Styela clava: one gene and its partner. The protein of the gene in region 2 interacts with the protein of the main gene of each other region in a pairwise test. Links are inferred from orthologs where the notes say so. Each region holds a gene or a part of one and is shown on either strand. Other genes may lie near its edges.

Region 1 (7,872 bases), on a different chromosome or scaffold from region 2:
AAATTTGACCTCGATACAGGGAGTCCACGGAACAATATTACATCTGGTGCAGTATTGCAGCTGCATTCACTGCAACTTAAATACCGAATTCTTGGTAAGGCCGAGACAAAAATCAATATATTTAGTTTCGTAAAATTTTGAGATTGTGAGATATAGAAACAAAATTTCACAATCGGTCGTAATTATATTCTGAATGAATTGTAAAAACTTTACAAATAGAAACAGCTATTATTATACTTACCAATCCTGATGACTGAAATAACAATAAAAACAAAAACTGACAGCAACATTTCAAGTTATTGACAAACTAGTTTATGACATGATGACCAAATCGGGTGTGGCGAATTGGTAAAATAACGTGGTTTAGTGTGTGCAATTTTATAGAATATTTTGAAATGTTTGTTTTTTTCATCACATGTGAGAGACATATTTGCTAAAGTTCAGCACGAAATGCTATTTTGCAAAGTGCTTTGTATGTATTTATAATATTATAATACTCAAACTCTACTAAATATTTCGTAATATTCGTAACATGCAAGATAAATTTTGTTTATATAAATGAAATATTTGGGCAGAAGCCAGTATGGACCGATTCTATTTACTCACCTCCTCTGAAGTTGGCCAGCGCTATAAGCAGCAGAGTGTTGGCGATTTGTGTGGCTATATATCGTCACGCTAATAACCGAATTGCGTAAATCATTTTTAGCAGTTTTGAGAAAAACGTAAAAAACTTCCTAATGATATTGTTATGCCATTGAGAGTCAATAATTTGCCATGGTTCAATTTTTTGATAAATTAATCTGTATGATGCAGTTAAGTGACTTCATAATGGCGCACTGTGACTTAGGCAGAAATGTGTGTATGACTTGGGGACATACGCAATTTTGCAACTTTACTATATGCACCAGTCCTGAAAACTAAACATTCCAAAAACTAATGTAATTTTCAGTATCTACAATGTCTAATCCCCAAAATAGCTAATCAGATTTAATTACATTATTTTTTATGTTTAAAAAATATAAATTTCATCAATATAACACGTTCTGCCCACCCACCGAAATAAGACTAAGATTAAATATAAAGAATAAAACAGCAATGCATCCAATATAAAAGCCAACCAAGGTGAATTGGACTCGGACAGTGAATATCACAAGTGCACGCCTTCCTATACTGTAGTATAAATTCAAATTAATACTCGCTAAGCTAGAATCCGAGATGCAAAAACTCGAAAATACTTCCCCGAGGTTATTTTGCCTTTGTGACGATAGTTCTGCGGTAACAATGCTGATTCATTATGACGAAACAATTGCATAAATGTCATGTCATACTAAATCTCCATTTTTATGGGTTTCGGGATTCTTAAAATGAAATCTGAGTTAACAGACAGGTGCGCAGCATTACCTAAATACCTATTTTATAAAAAAAAAACTCAAAATCGCCAAAAATGGCTTACGCAATTCGGGTATTAGCGTGACGATATTCCAAATATCTACGTGTGCGATACATTCAACACATTTAGGTTTCTCCCAGCATTTAATTTAGGTAACAAATAGGAATACACACACCGAAATCAACGACTATTGGACTATTTATTATACTTATACAAAGAAATCTCTATATCATAACATAAATTGAATGCGCTACTACCAAAATTACAATCTTCAAGTTAGTCTTAGTCAGATGTATAAAACAATGAAATATGTGGTTTTGTGTTTACAAAGTCTGTAATCGTAAAGACTTTAACGAGATTGGAAGAATTTAAGGCCAGTTCTATACTTGTCTACGGATACGAACTCCTTCCATCAGGTTGACCATTGCATATTTGTGGTTTGTATAACTGTTATACTATATAAGGAGACAGGCGTTATCAGGATAACACAGAATAAATGTATGACGTTCCAACATTAAAACTGAGGATTGTGTATTTTATTGCATGTGTTGAATCATATACGTGAAGACCCGATGCATTGCATATATATAATTGTTGAAATATTGTTATTGTTCAGTTGGTTGCAAACAAATTGAAGAGAATAAATAGGTTTACAACTGTTCCATTTTGTAATGCAATACTTCCAATTGCACTGCAATAAAAAATAAACACTACAGTGGTTGCAGGCTTCCCCGGTAATATGTGATTTTCACATCACAAAATCGGAATTTTTTTAAATCAACTTTTTGAAGTCCCTCAACTTTTCGCTTCCTCGCGTAATAATGTGTTTTATTCCCACGCTTTCTGAATGATAGTCTAACTATTTAGCAATTTATTACGTCACGGGAGACAATTGATTTCCAACGTCTTAATCACATCATTTTCAGTATTAATTGTTCCATTAAGAAAACAAATTAGGAACAAGAAAATGGCAACAAGAACACCGAAAGAGAAAACAATGTTCTTCGATCACAAAAAGCAAAATGGCTTCCCGTGGAGCGTAACAAAGCGAAAAGTATAGACGCGAGCGACAAGTAATTCCCACCGCATCGAAGCAATTTGAGAATGGGGAGAAGTTGGTTCGTATTTCCCCGGGATAGACAGGTATTGGGATGAAGTCTCTCTTCGCGGCCTCGTTCTCGCCTTCCGCGTCACACTGAGCCTTCGAGACCACCTTCGTTCCCACAATTAATATGTAAAATGTCACGAGTCTAGAGATCGTCTGATTTTCTCATGAAATTTCTATAGTCGTTCTCAATTAGCATAATATTTCGTTGTTTGTATATTGATTGTTAACCAGACTACGCGGAGAAAAAATTGCACACCTTTATGAATTTTTTTCTTTTTCTACATCGTCACTTACCCATATAATTGGATTAAAATTGTCGAATTCGTCAGTTTAGTGAGTAATTCTTATATATGCATCATTTGCAGAGTTAATCAAGTTTGATGCATAGGTGGTCGTTCCCCCATTTCTAGCATTTCAGTGTCAAAAGCAAGCGGCGTAAGGTATATGTATCAAAATATAGAGACGATATAATATTATGATTTCTGTATTAGTGGAGGTTTCGTTTGTAATTGAAAAATTCAAATAAAAATAAACATACGTATTAAAAAGGGTGGCTTATGCTGTACATGTGCTGTAATGATGTAGGCCTACATGTTTTTGGTCATAATAAAAAGCGAGAATATTTGACAAGTTGGAACACTCGAGAAGATATCCGCCATATTGTTACCAAAGAATCGTGGTGTTAAAAATCGTCATCAAAAGTTTGCACTCAGTAATGATTTTGATTTTCTATCAGAGCTCGTTCGGGTTAATAAAAACAAACAGAATATTGTTTAAAGTACTGTAGTATTTATCAATCCACATTTCAAACAATATTTGTAATATTAGCTCTATGGGATGATGTGAAAATAAAAATTATTTAACATATTTTGCATTTGACTTTGCTGTGAAATAGAATTCTAAAGGCAATTTTAATATTACTAAAGAAGTCATACAACTGGCTTTGATTTTCGTGTATGTTGAATTATCAGTTATTGTTTATGATGAAAGAAAAAATCGTTTGATGGTCTCTTTCATTTTTTTCTTTTAAATCCAAATATAATCCCCTTTTATTGTTATGTATTGAGAGAGAAGATTATTCTCTTTTGGTCTTGGTTTACTACACTGCGCTACATTCAAAGAGGATTGTAATATAATTGAAAGAAGGCTTTTACTCTACGTCAAAGGTATTGAGCTAAAGTCATTCTTAAATTTAGTAATTTAGCAACTAACCCGCTACTAGAGACAGAATGAGTGTAGTGCTATTCTTTATTAGGATTCTATCTGTGGTTAATTCTTAGTATGTACAACTGAGTTAAATATAGTCACAAAATTAGGAAAAATTTGGTACTGTTTGTAACTTCAAAAATAGGATTTGCATCTAACGAGAAGGACAAAATTTTGACACATCGAATCAATCAGGTTTGTTGTTTGAGAATTTTTGTTTGGATGATACGCTTAAATCATGGCTCGTACTATTGTTTCCTTCGAGAGCAGGTAGCTTTATTTCAGAAACATTGTATTTTGGTTCATATATTTGTTTTGTTTTCTTTGTATTTTACGTGTTGACTTCATCGAACAATCGTTTTATTTGCACAATATTCTGTTTAATAATTTGTGCATGGTAGTTTACTGCAATTTAGAATTTTGCTCGTTAGAGCAAATCACTGTCACAATGCATTGTACAGAAAACACCGTGAATTCTACATCGGGTAAGGTTAAGGCTGCGACATAATTCAATAAAATGAGAAATAACTGTTTATAGATAGAATAAATAGGAAAAATAGACACAATCTTTCGATTACTTAATTCCGATTTGATTAAACGATTTTGATTGCTATATACTTTTATGGTTCTATTGGCCATCGAGGCATATCATGAAATTACATTTGTATTTCGCATTTAACCTCAAAACAAAATGAAGTCCAAAAAAACAAAGTTTGATTTCAAAACTACTTCGAGGTGAGCAAAACGGATGATAGAATCCGCCATTTTGTCTCAAAATCATAGAATGAAAAAGGTAGCGAGGGAGTGACGCAGAAACGCAAAACGCTGATGCGAAATTTTAAACAATTGCATTTATAGCACAGAATATGGGAAAGAAAGGAGTATTTTGTAAGAGTACAATAAGTGTATACGTCTTAAAAGTTTAGATTTTTACGATATATAATCCATGAGTGGATAATAGGTGCATGATAAGTTTTAAAACCGACAGATGCAACCATGTTTTGCCCTGCTTGTGCCAGTTTTTATGTTTTTACTTTTACTAAGAAATCTTTTTAGGTCAATTAATTCTTTTGTATTATCCTAGTTTCAAAACAAAAAGTCGAGTAAACCTAAATTTCATTTGCTTCTGACCATCGGCAATCGACTGAATATCAAATTCGGAAAAACAACGTTCTTTGGTCAGCCTTTTGTATAGAGATGGCCACCCACCAACTTTGTCACCAAGGACCGATGATGTCAGCTCATATGCCGTCTTATCAAGCACCATATTCATCAGCAGTAGCATTGTGTCTCGGAGGTGATGGTTTATCACATACAGGTAAACAAATACGCGATCATAGACTGGCTATTTGATAAGGCATGTATTTTATATGTGTTATGGTGTTTAGGGATACATCATTGCTATCGTCTAATCTTTATTTGTAAAAAAAATCAATTACGTTATCATAAAGACATACGTCTTGCGTTAGTGGTTGACAATATGGGGTGTTAGATATAGAAAATATATATGAGTATGTTGAAACAATAACCAATCTTTGGTACACTGATAACTGGCGCTAAAACGTTTGATTTTGATTTCCATTTAACCGCAATATTGTTGTATATACAATGTGATAAAATGCTATTTATGGAAACCGAAAATGGGCAAATTAATGAAAACAAGCGGTAATTCTAGTAAGCTATCACCAATGAAGTAACTTGCGATTGTGGCAAATATATCAGGTAAAAATAGCTAACTTCCGTTTTCATACATATTCATATATATTGTCATGCAACATTTTTTGGTTGATAAATACCAATCAAATTGTAAACGATGTTTTCGAAACTTTGATTAAAACTGGAAGAATAAATTCAAATTCACGCTAGTTCAAAATACCAATATCGAGTACAACCCATGAAAAATCGCGTTTTATTATTATTGTTTTTGAGTGTTTACAACGTTTGATCTATCACCAATTTTTTTTCAACAAAACCAGAAAACGCAGCAATATTCACATAACATTGAATGAATTAAAACTCTAAAATAACCCACAGCTGCTCAATATATCCAAACGTTATGTAAAAATATGTCATCTTATAGAAACCACTCAACGAAATATGTTTTGTCGTTTGAAATCGCGAAAAACAAACAAATATAACAAACCGGATCATGATAGATGTCCCAGAAATCGCTTATCAATGAGAACAATATTTGATTTTATTACATACTTCTCACAGACAATTTCAAAATAAACATGTTTTATGTAAAATTGATTGTCGCTGACCATTTTGTGATAAATTACATTTTAGGGGCGATTTTTAAGACAATATAGGTATATTTCGTCGATAACACCCATATTTTGCTCAGATCAGAATTGTTTTCTGATTTTGAATGATTGTCATGAATTTGGAAATATTGTTTCATCAACATAGAAATTTAGTACACTCATAATACAAAAAAAATTAAAAGCTATTCGATTTTAATCCTCGTGGATAATTTTTCTAAGAAATTCTCCATATTTTATAGTCATTTTCAATCTAGGTTTCTCTAGAAAATTATCAGAAATAGTTATGGGCTACGTTAAAAAAACTGCAGTACAATTTCTCATGGAAGGATAAATTACGAGGTATCCCGCAGTGCGCCGCAAATAAAACTATTGTTTACGGTCAGGGTTTTTGGCAGCTAAGAAAAACTTAACGTATAATGATACTCAGTATGTATGATTACTTTATTGTTTTATGGACTAAGATATAGTTTTTGGCCTTAATTGCACTACTCAAAATACCTTGTTTACGACATCCCACAACAATAAATCTAAGAATTCAAATCCTTAAGATTTTGTCTAGTTATCCCAAGTTAAGTTTGGAATTATAGATAAAACGTATTAATAAATTTCGAGTTAGGTGGACATAGGTGAAATTAATAATCCAAATCAAGTTACATTTGAAATAATCTCAATTGTGTCTTTTTTGCAATTTGCTTTATTCACAAATATTTTGTTAAATATCCCGGTAATGCCATTTTGGAAATATGAATGTGTAAATCCCAATCTGTTTATATGAAGGACGGTATGATACTTCCCAATCGATTCTAAATAAAAAATTCTAATAATGAAAGGTTACTCGCAATGCTTCTTAGAGAAAATACTTGTTATTGACCAGTAGCCTAAGTCTATTTAGGCAAATCAATTTTCAATTTTACCTCGCTTAACGACGAGACGACAAATTGTTAATTATCAGGCACGAGTTGAAGATATAAGTCGATATTTTTGTATATGTGATTTTACAAATGGCCTAATAAATTACGAACTAGATTAAAGCAAAGGTGGTCTTGCATTCACAGGTGTCGATTAAACAAAGAATTATCTTTTGAAAAAAAAATTGTTTTTATTTATTAGGTGGAAAACTTTGTCAAAAATTATTATTGCTATTTGAATAGTTGAGTTATTTTAAATTTTGAGTCTACTTCTGAGATTTTAATTAAATAACTTTTGGGTATATGCCGAGTCTAGCTATGCAATTTTTCGTCCGGGCCATGATTACCCCCACAAGTGTGCCCCCTCTCAACTAAATCTGGAGTCATACGTGAAAACCAGTCAACATTTATTATAATTTTAGGGAAAAAAAAAGATTTATTATTTTTACACAATAGGAGCGTTTCGGTTATTATCATTCTCTATTTCGGTTATAACAAAGATTGTAGCGCACGCTTTTCAGACGTGTGGGGAATCTTAGTAGTCTTTGTCTTATAGCTGAAAGAAAAACTATCAAATCATTTCAAAGATCTTGGAATATAATATTCTATATTACTAATCAGCTATTAACCTGTGGGTTGCAGATTAACCCCTTAGACACCTTGAGATTATCCTAATTTACCAGCACCCTGCTTTGTAATCTTTATTTCAAATGGAATTGTTCGACAGTCATCTAAAAAAATTAAATCCTATTATACTATATATATCACCAAACCGAGAAGTTATGTTCGATCATAGTTGGGCGCGAAGTAACGATGTTAAAAATGTCTTTTCGGGTCGTTCATAAATATAATAAGCTTACTAGTTTACGGAATGATTAAATGTTTTATCCTAATAATTGTGGGAACTCGCGTGTTATTATTTATGAAAGGTTGGTTTTATTTTTAAAGATGGTTTTGTAATAATAGCTAACCCTACTTTTATCCAACTTGTTT
Region 2 (7,033 bases):
AGTTTTTAGAAAAAATGGCAATTTTGGGCACTTGACAGCTGCGAATAATTTAGATTATATATGAGACAAGCATGGCACGATATGACAGATCTGCATTTATGGTAGACGCCCCTCGTTTGTGAGACGCATGGAGTGTTTGTTTTATTGAACCAATATCGGGACATTCTTGGAATTTGGAAACTCTGGCCAACTTGAATCGAATTTCAACTTCCAAGTTATTGCTCGATTTTGTATCTTGTGTATTTATTAATTGTGAGCTTCAACTGTTTTGGTAGACGGGCGCGTACTTGTAAGTTTCAACTATTTCTTGAGTTATGCTCGTCTTTCAGGTCCTCTGTATTTTATTTGTCCATTTAGTTTTGTTTTATACCAGAGGGACCAGAATAAATTTGATTGACTGATCATATTATAGGCTAGTACAGTAGTATTTATTAGATTATGACCACATATTATTTGGCAGCATTAGCTCTATTAAGTTTGCTGGTTTGAATATATGATTTCTTGACACATGTTCACTCAACGACGTAAGTGCTTCTATTTAACAGGGCACAGCCATATGTTATTCCTAATCCCCACCTGGCTCTGTCAGCCAAAGATTTTTTCATTACATCAAAGAGCTTGTTAAAGTATAGCCTGATAGCTACGATCACTCAAAATGGCATCTTCTCAAACGATAACAAACTCACCAAACGTCTGAACGATAGCGATCTCTTGTATATCAGGATCGGTACGATAAAAAATGAGAGAAGTAGTCTGCTCGATTTCGGGTGATAGTCTGCTCATCTTGGGTGACAGTTAATGAAGTTTGGAGGGCCTTATTAGTTATTACGTTACTGTGATGTCATAGTGGCGTATATTTTATAAAATAATACTTTGATACTTAATTTAGTAATCACTTGGCTTAGGTCCGGAGTTATCAAACTCTTGGTTTTACGAAGCCCATGAAGAGGTCAACCATTATTTACAGGCCCACAATAAATTTTTCCCACATATTTGACAAGCATATTGATAAACGAACGAATAGCTCACCAAGTCTCATATGCTGGTGCACTCAGATAATCTTGATCAGATCATGTAATTAGCATGTACTATCCTTTTTTTTATCAGATTTTTGATTTAGACTTCTGTTTTCAATGCACTGGCGAAATGACTTTTAAAATCACAGGCATGATTGGGATATTATGGATTGCACTTCAGTACCTGCAACCTGCATATACCTGCAACATGAAGGCAGGTGGTTATTATGGGTCAGAATCTGCAGTTATCAATCCACTTAAAGAAGCGTTTGTTCCTCGTAAGGAGGCTAAAGAAAAATGTCAAAAGTCAAAGATGGAATTAGCACAATTCTATGATGAAGGTACCAAACTGGCTATTGCAAATTTCGTCAATGGTGATAATAAATTGGGAGAAAGCGAGTTGTACTGGCTGGGGTTATTAGAACGACCTGATCAATTTCGATATGATGACGAAACTACCAGATTCTTTGGAGACTGGTCTGCACAGGCATTGGTGGTAATGAAGGAGGCTGCAGAGATTGCCTACAGAGCACCAATGTGTGCAGGTGTGATGAAAGATGATCCATTTAAAATCAGTTTAGAATATTGTAACAAAAAAGGTCATGCATTGTGTACTTTGAAAAATAAACAACGGCCTTTGACACTACAACCCGAAACCAACGAAAAATGTGCAGATTCTATTAGCATTACTTGGAATTCTGATAGCTTTTTATCTTCAAGTTTTAATTATAATTTCCGACTGATTAACCTTGATACTCATCTTGATGATCCTCCGCTAATTTATAGAGTCCGTGCAGGAGAAATGGGTATTCCCAAAACCACTAAATTAAAGGATGGACTTGAACCATATACAAATTACAGAATTGAGCTCAGCATGTGCACGACAGTTTGTTGTTGTGGTCCAGTGAAAAGTGTTATACCAGAGGTTTATTTTCTTGGTGGACCTACAAGTCCGACAGATGTTGAAATGCAGTACAATACCGATAGAAAAGAATGCCAAGTCATGTGGATGATTCCGGAAAAAATGCCGAAGGAAGATTATACAGGTTTTAAAATTGTGGTGAAATCAAATCATGCAAGTGACCTAGACGCTGATGATGATGCTTATATTGATAAAATGGTTGCTAACATTGAGATTGAAACGAAGTATTCCTTCAAAGTGGAGTCAAATCGGCGATACACTGTGACGGTGCAGACCGCAGGTTGTGGGAGGTTCAGCAAAGCTGTGGAAGCGGAGGGGGAATGTACAACAGAACCATCAGGCCCCGACTTTATCCCAAGCCCAGGTCTCATGATCATGTCCAATGGACAATACTCATTAAGGTTAACTATTCCAAAAGAAAAGAATGGGCCAATCAGTTGTTTGTTCCTGATAATGCGACCAACGGAAAAACGAATGCTATCTAGTACAAGTACAGGATATTCAGTAAAGCAATTGAAGCAAGCAAGTGAAAGTTCAAACGAATTAAATAAAGACTTCATTGCAGCAGCTCTGAAGCGATCAGATATACAGGGACAGTATATTGATATATATCTTAATCAAAGCACACTTAGTAGTTGTAATATAGGTAATGATGGTTCACCTAGTAATGATTATGAATCTAAAAAATTTGCTCTGAATCATGATTGGTATTATAGCATTGTTTTAGTGACTTCAACCCCTAGCTTCCATGAAGTTAGTTTAAAGAAAAGTGTGTCCACCTTACTTCCTGCTAAAGTTCAAAGTTTAAGAAGCAGTGCTAGATTTATCCAGTCACGATCGAATGAGGAGAAAATTAACAGTGCAGTAGAAACGAAGAAATGTAGTAGCATGGGTACCATACTTTCAGTCGTTTTTTCTATCCTCTTAGTTATAGCTCTTGTGGGTTTATTTTTAATTGTAAAAAGAAAAAAGGTATCTAGTAATGTAGAGGATGAGGAAACTGTAAAGGACGGAGAAGACGATGAAGCAAATCAGCAGAAAAGTGAGAAATCAAAGCCACAACAAGCAGAGGTAGAAAAAGAACCAAAGACTAGATCTAGAGATAATGAAAAAGAAAGGAGGCATCATAAGCACCGTAAGCATCGCAGACATCATCATGAAGAAGAGTTACCATGATGTTATATACTAACAATTTTCATAGCACAGAATTCAAATTTTTTTATCGGTGGCTAAACCAGAAAGTCATGAATATATTTGACATTGTACGATTTCCATTATTATAGTTCAATAGTTTAACTAGCAGGCCTTCATGTATTTCATGCATATCATAGATGGTATATTTTCATATTAGGTACCTATGTATTTAATGGATATGTTGCATTAGGTATTGCATCCCTAACTTGAGATTTATCTTGAGAAGAAGAATTTATGATAGTCCCATCTTGTTTTTTGTTACACTGTCGGAGCTTTATGTCATGTAAAACCTGGAATTATGTGAATTGCTTGTGTTATATGTGATTAGAGAGTTTCGTTGCATACAACACTATTTTATATCTGTAAGATTTTTCCTGACCAGGATCAAACTTCTTCAGACACGCATATTTCAACTGCAGCAAGCTTTTAAATCACATATCACAGTCATCTTTATTCCTGCTACAGCCTATTTGCATTATGCACATAAAAATGTACGAGAGCAAAAGCATGGAGGAAGAGTTATTCTTGCGTAACCCCAACTGATACCTACATACCGTCTGTGGCCAGTTTCCTCTCATAAATGTTTATTTCAGTTTGTTGTCTGAAAATTTGGTATATCATAATCGATGCCAGTATTCGGGCCATTATTAATAAATTTTTGTTTTTAATGGAAAAATAACCTTTTTATCCCATTTCCTCAATTTATCGGTAATTGTTTTCTGAGGGATGGATTTCGTCCATTAGTGCTTACATATTTTCTAAATTTCAAGATACTACAATTTCTTGTCTCATAATTTGCATCTTTTATTCTTCTATTACAGTGTTTATATTTACCAACTAAGATAATTCATCTAGACCAGAGCACTTGTTCAGTTGTTGTTACGGATATGACCACCGATAATGCGCCTGAATTTACTGTGGATAACATTGAAAAGGCATTACATCAACTGTACTATGATCCTGTTTCATCTACAAAAGACACAGCACAAAGATGGCTAACATTTGCCCAAAGATCAAAACAAGTACCATATATTAAGAGCTCTATTCACTGGTTATTTTAATCTGATAAAACAATTTGAGCAAATGTTATTATCAAGTAGTGGAACTCAACCTCAAGTAGCTTCCCAAATAATAAACGAGAATTAGATTCTCAGATGTATTACTATAACAGATTAAAAATAGGTATTTTATTATTTTTGTTGTTGGGACAAAATTTGCTAAATTCTTAGCTAATGAAGCTACTGTTTTCAATTTTCCAACCGTTTCAAGACAGACTTGACTGATTGAGCAATTTCATAACTTTTTACTAATTGATTCAGTGAGTGCAACCTGTAATTAGGCCGCAGTAGCCTGGCTATATCGACGCATGAAATCCAAATTGGGCTAAGTCCATTTTTCTAGTTTTGAGAAAAACGCAAAAAACGTTTTTTTTTTTGTTTCTTTTTTTTATTTCTCTAATACCTTACATCGAGGATGTCTAGTTTTTATGGTCCACCAAAGTGACAATGAAGGCCATATTTAGATGGTATAAAAAAATTTGTGCTCCGCCCCAATTTTTTTGGGGGATGGTTTTTTTGGACTTAACCCTTTTTGACTCTCAATTTCCTGGACCAGAAACAATTTTATTGGACTTAGGGCCTCTTTATTATGTTATTTTAGAGGCTGGTATGGACTTAGCGCTTTGTATTATATTTTTTGAGAGGAGCTATGTCCAAAAAACGGACTTAGCCCCAACTTACAATGCAGTTATCCAGAGCTAAGTCCACTATAGTAGACACAGCTCTGTTTAGTTCTCAAATGCCCTAAAAAAAGCAGGGTTATGTCCATAGCTGTCTTGAGATCTAGAGCACCTAGAGATAAGGCAAATAGACCAAAATGTAGAGCTAAGTCCAGGAAAATCAGCAATTGAAAAATGTCATTTTTTGGAAAAGTGGACTTAGCACTGTTTGGTTTTGAGGTGTCGATATATATTTGTGCATTGCCCCATTGTATGCGATCAACATCTGGTCTTATAATGAAGAATAATTTAACTTATTTATTTCTAGGCTTGGCAGTTTTCATGGGATCTATTGCAACCAAACCGTTTGACTGAAGTTCAATATTTTGGAGCGAGCGCTTTGGTTTCAAAGATATCAGGATCGTGGAATGAAGTTCCTGAAAATGAAATTGATAGTTTACGTGAACGACTTTTTTCTGAGATTCTTCGCTTATGTGTATCTCCACAAAATCGTATCATTTTAACCAGAATTTGCGTAGCATTTTCATCATTTGTTATGAATTGCGTACTCATGAAAAAATGGGACACAGTTATTTCTGATATTATTAAAAGACTACAAGAAGATGAAACTGCCAATGTATCTCCAATGCAAAGATGCTCAGCTTTACTGGAAATCCTCGCTGTCCTAGCTGAGGAACATCACAGCAGAACAATGGAGCAATATCAAAAAGGAATTGTTAAACACATGTTAATTCAAGGAATGCCTCACGTTCTACCATTACTTTCTAATTTAATGAATTCTGAAGATTTCAATGAAATGCATGGAAAAATTTTGAAATGTTTCTCAAGCTGGGTAATACTTGGAATACCGATCAATGAATATAAAGACATTCTTCATAAAACTATATCTTTTATTGATGACCCTGATTTATTTGATAATTGTGTTGAATGCCTTTTAAATACTTTTTGCTCACCAGGTATTCATAAGTATGTGAATACAATAAAGGAAATCATTCCTAAGGTTTTATCACTTCGTCCAATGCTTCATCAGGCAATTGAAGATCAAGATGCAGATGTTTGTATCGGAATTACAAAAATTGTTAGCGGACTTGCAGAAAATCAGACCAAGTTGATTTTAGAGAATTATAACAATCCAGAAATAGGTCTTGGCCTTGTTTTAATGGTTGCCGAATGTACCGGTATTCGTTTACAATATCCGACTGAAGAAATGGGAAGCCCAATTACCTTTACTTTCTGGTATTCTTTACAAGATGAAGTGAGAAGTTTACCGGAATCTGATATGTCTATTTTTCCTCAAATCCAGCCAATTTATTATCATTTGGTGGAGACATTGGTACAGAAGTCAAGCTATCCAGTCTCTGTTTCACATACTGACTGGTCGAGTGATGAAAAAGAGCAGCATAGAATTTACAGAATTGATATTTCTGATACATTAATGTATATTCTTGAAATGCTTGGTACAAATATGGTACGTTTTCTTTGTGGTAAACTTCTACAAAGTGTTAAATCAATGCATGAGAAGCAAGATTACCAATGGCAGGAAACTGAATCTATATTATTTGCTATACATTCTGTGGTTGAATCAATGGCAGACTGGGATGTTGATTTAGATTGTTTGAATGAACTTTCACAGGTTTTGCCAACAATAAAAGTAGAAAATCTAACATTGGCTGATACTCTTCTATACACTATTGGAGCTCTGACTGAATGGTTGGTGTATAACCCCCAGTATCTATCTTTATTGATTCCTATTGTTCTTCCATGCATACGAACGCATGATCTTGCAATGACCACTGTTCTGACTTTGAAAAGAATAACTCGAGAATGTAAAGAACATCTTGTACCACAAGCAGAAGTAATACTAGGTACAGCTCAAGATGCATTAACTAAAGGAATTTTGAAAAACAATGAAGTCAATTGGTTAATGCAATCAGTCGGTCATATGCTTTCTGTTTTATCAGAAGATGAATGCATAAGACGATTGCAGAGTGTTCTCATGCTTCATATGCACCAGTTGCGAGCATTGTCGGAAGATCCACCATCAGGACCAACTAAAAACAGCATTATTCATATTTTAGAGATATTGGCAAGTTTGTTTTCAACACTCGACCGCCGCAAGGGTGATACCACTGATGAGAAGGTCCAAGTAGATGCTGATGAAAA

The links. The genes of interacting proteins can lie anywhere in the genome.
Region 1: the proteins of importin-13-like (region 2) and paired box protein Pax-6-like interact in a two-hybrid assay, tested with the Homo sapiens proteins (2 studies listed by BioGRID and IntAct). The link is inferred for Styela clava from reciprocal best matches to the Homo sapiens genes IPO13 and PAX6.

The regions. Positions count from the first base shown.
Region 1 is NC_135254.1:16,097,563-16,105,434, forward strand, and holds the start of paired box protein Pax-6-like, read left to right. Parts: upstream 1-4,761; 5' UTR 4,762-4,901; coding exon 4,902-5,022; intron 5,023-7,872. UniProt on the Homo sapiens protein: Transcription factor with important functions in the development of the eye, nose, central nervous system and pancreas. Required for the differentiation of pancreatic islet alpha cells.
Region 2 is NC_135257.1:5,485,617-5,492,649, reverse strand, and holds the start of importin-13-like, read left to right. Parts: upstream 1-3,953; 5' UTR 3,954-4,019; coding exon 4,020-4,154; intron 4,155-5,177; coding exon 5,178-7,033. UniProt on the Homo sapiens protein: Functions in nuclear protein import as nuclear transport receptor. Serves as receptor for nuclear localization signals (NLS) in cargo substrates.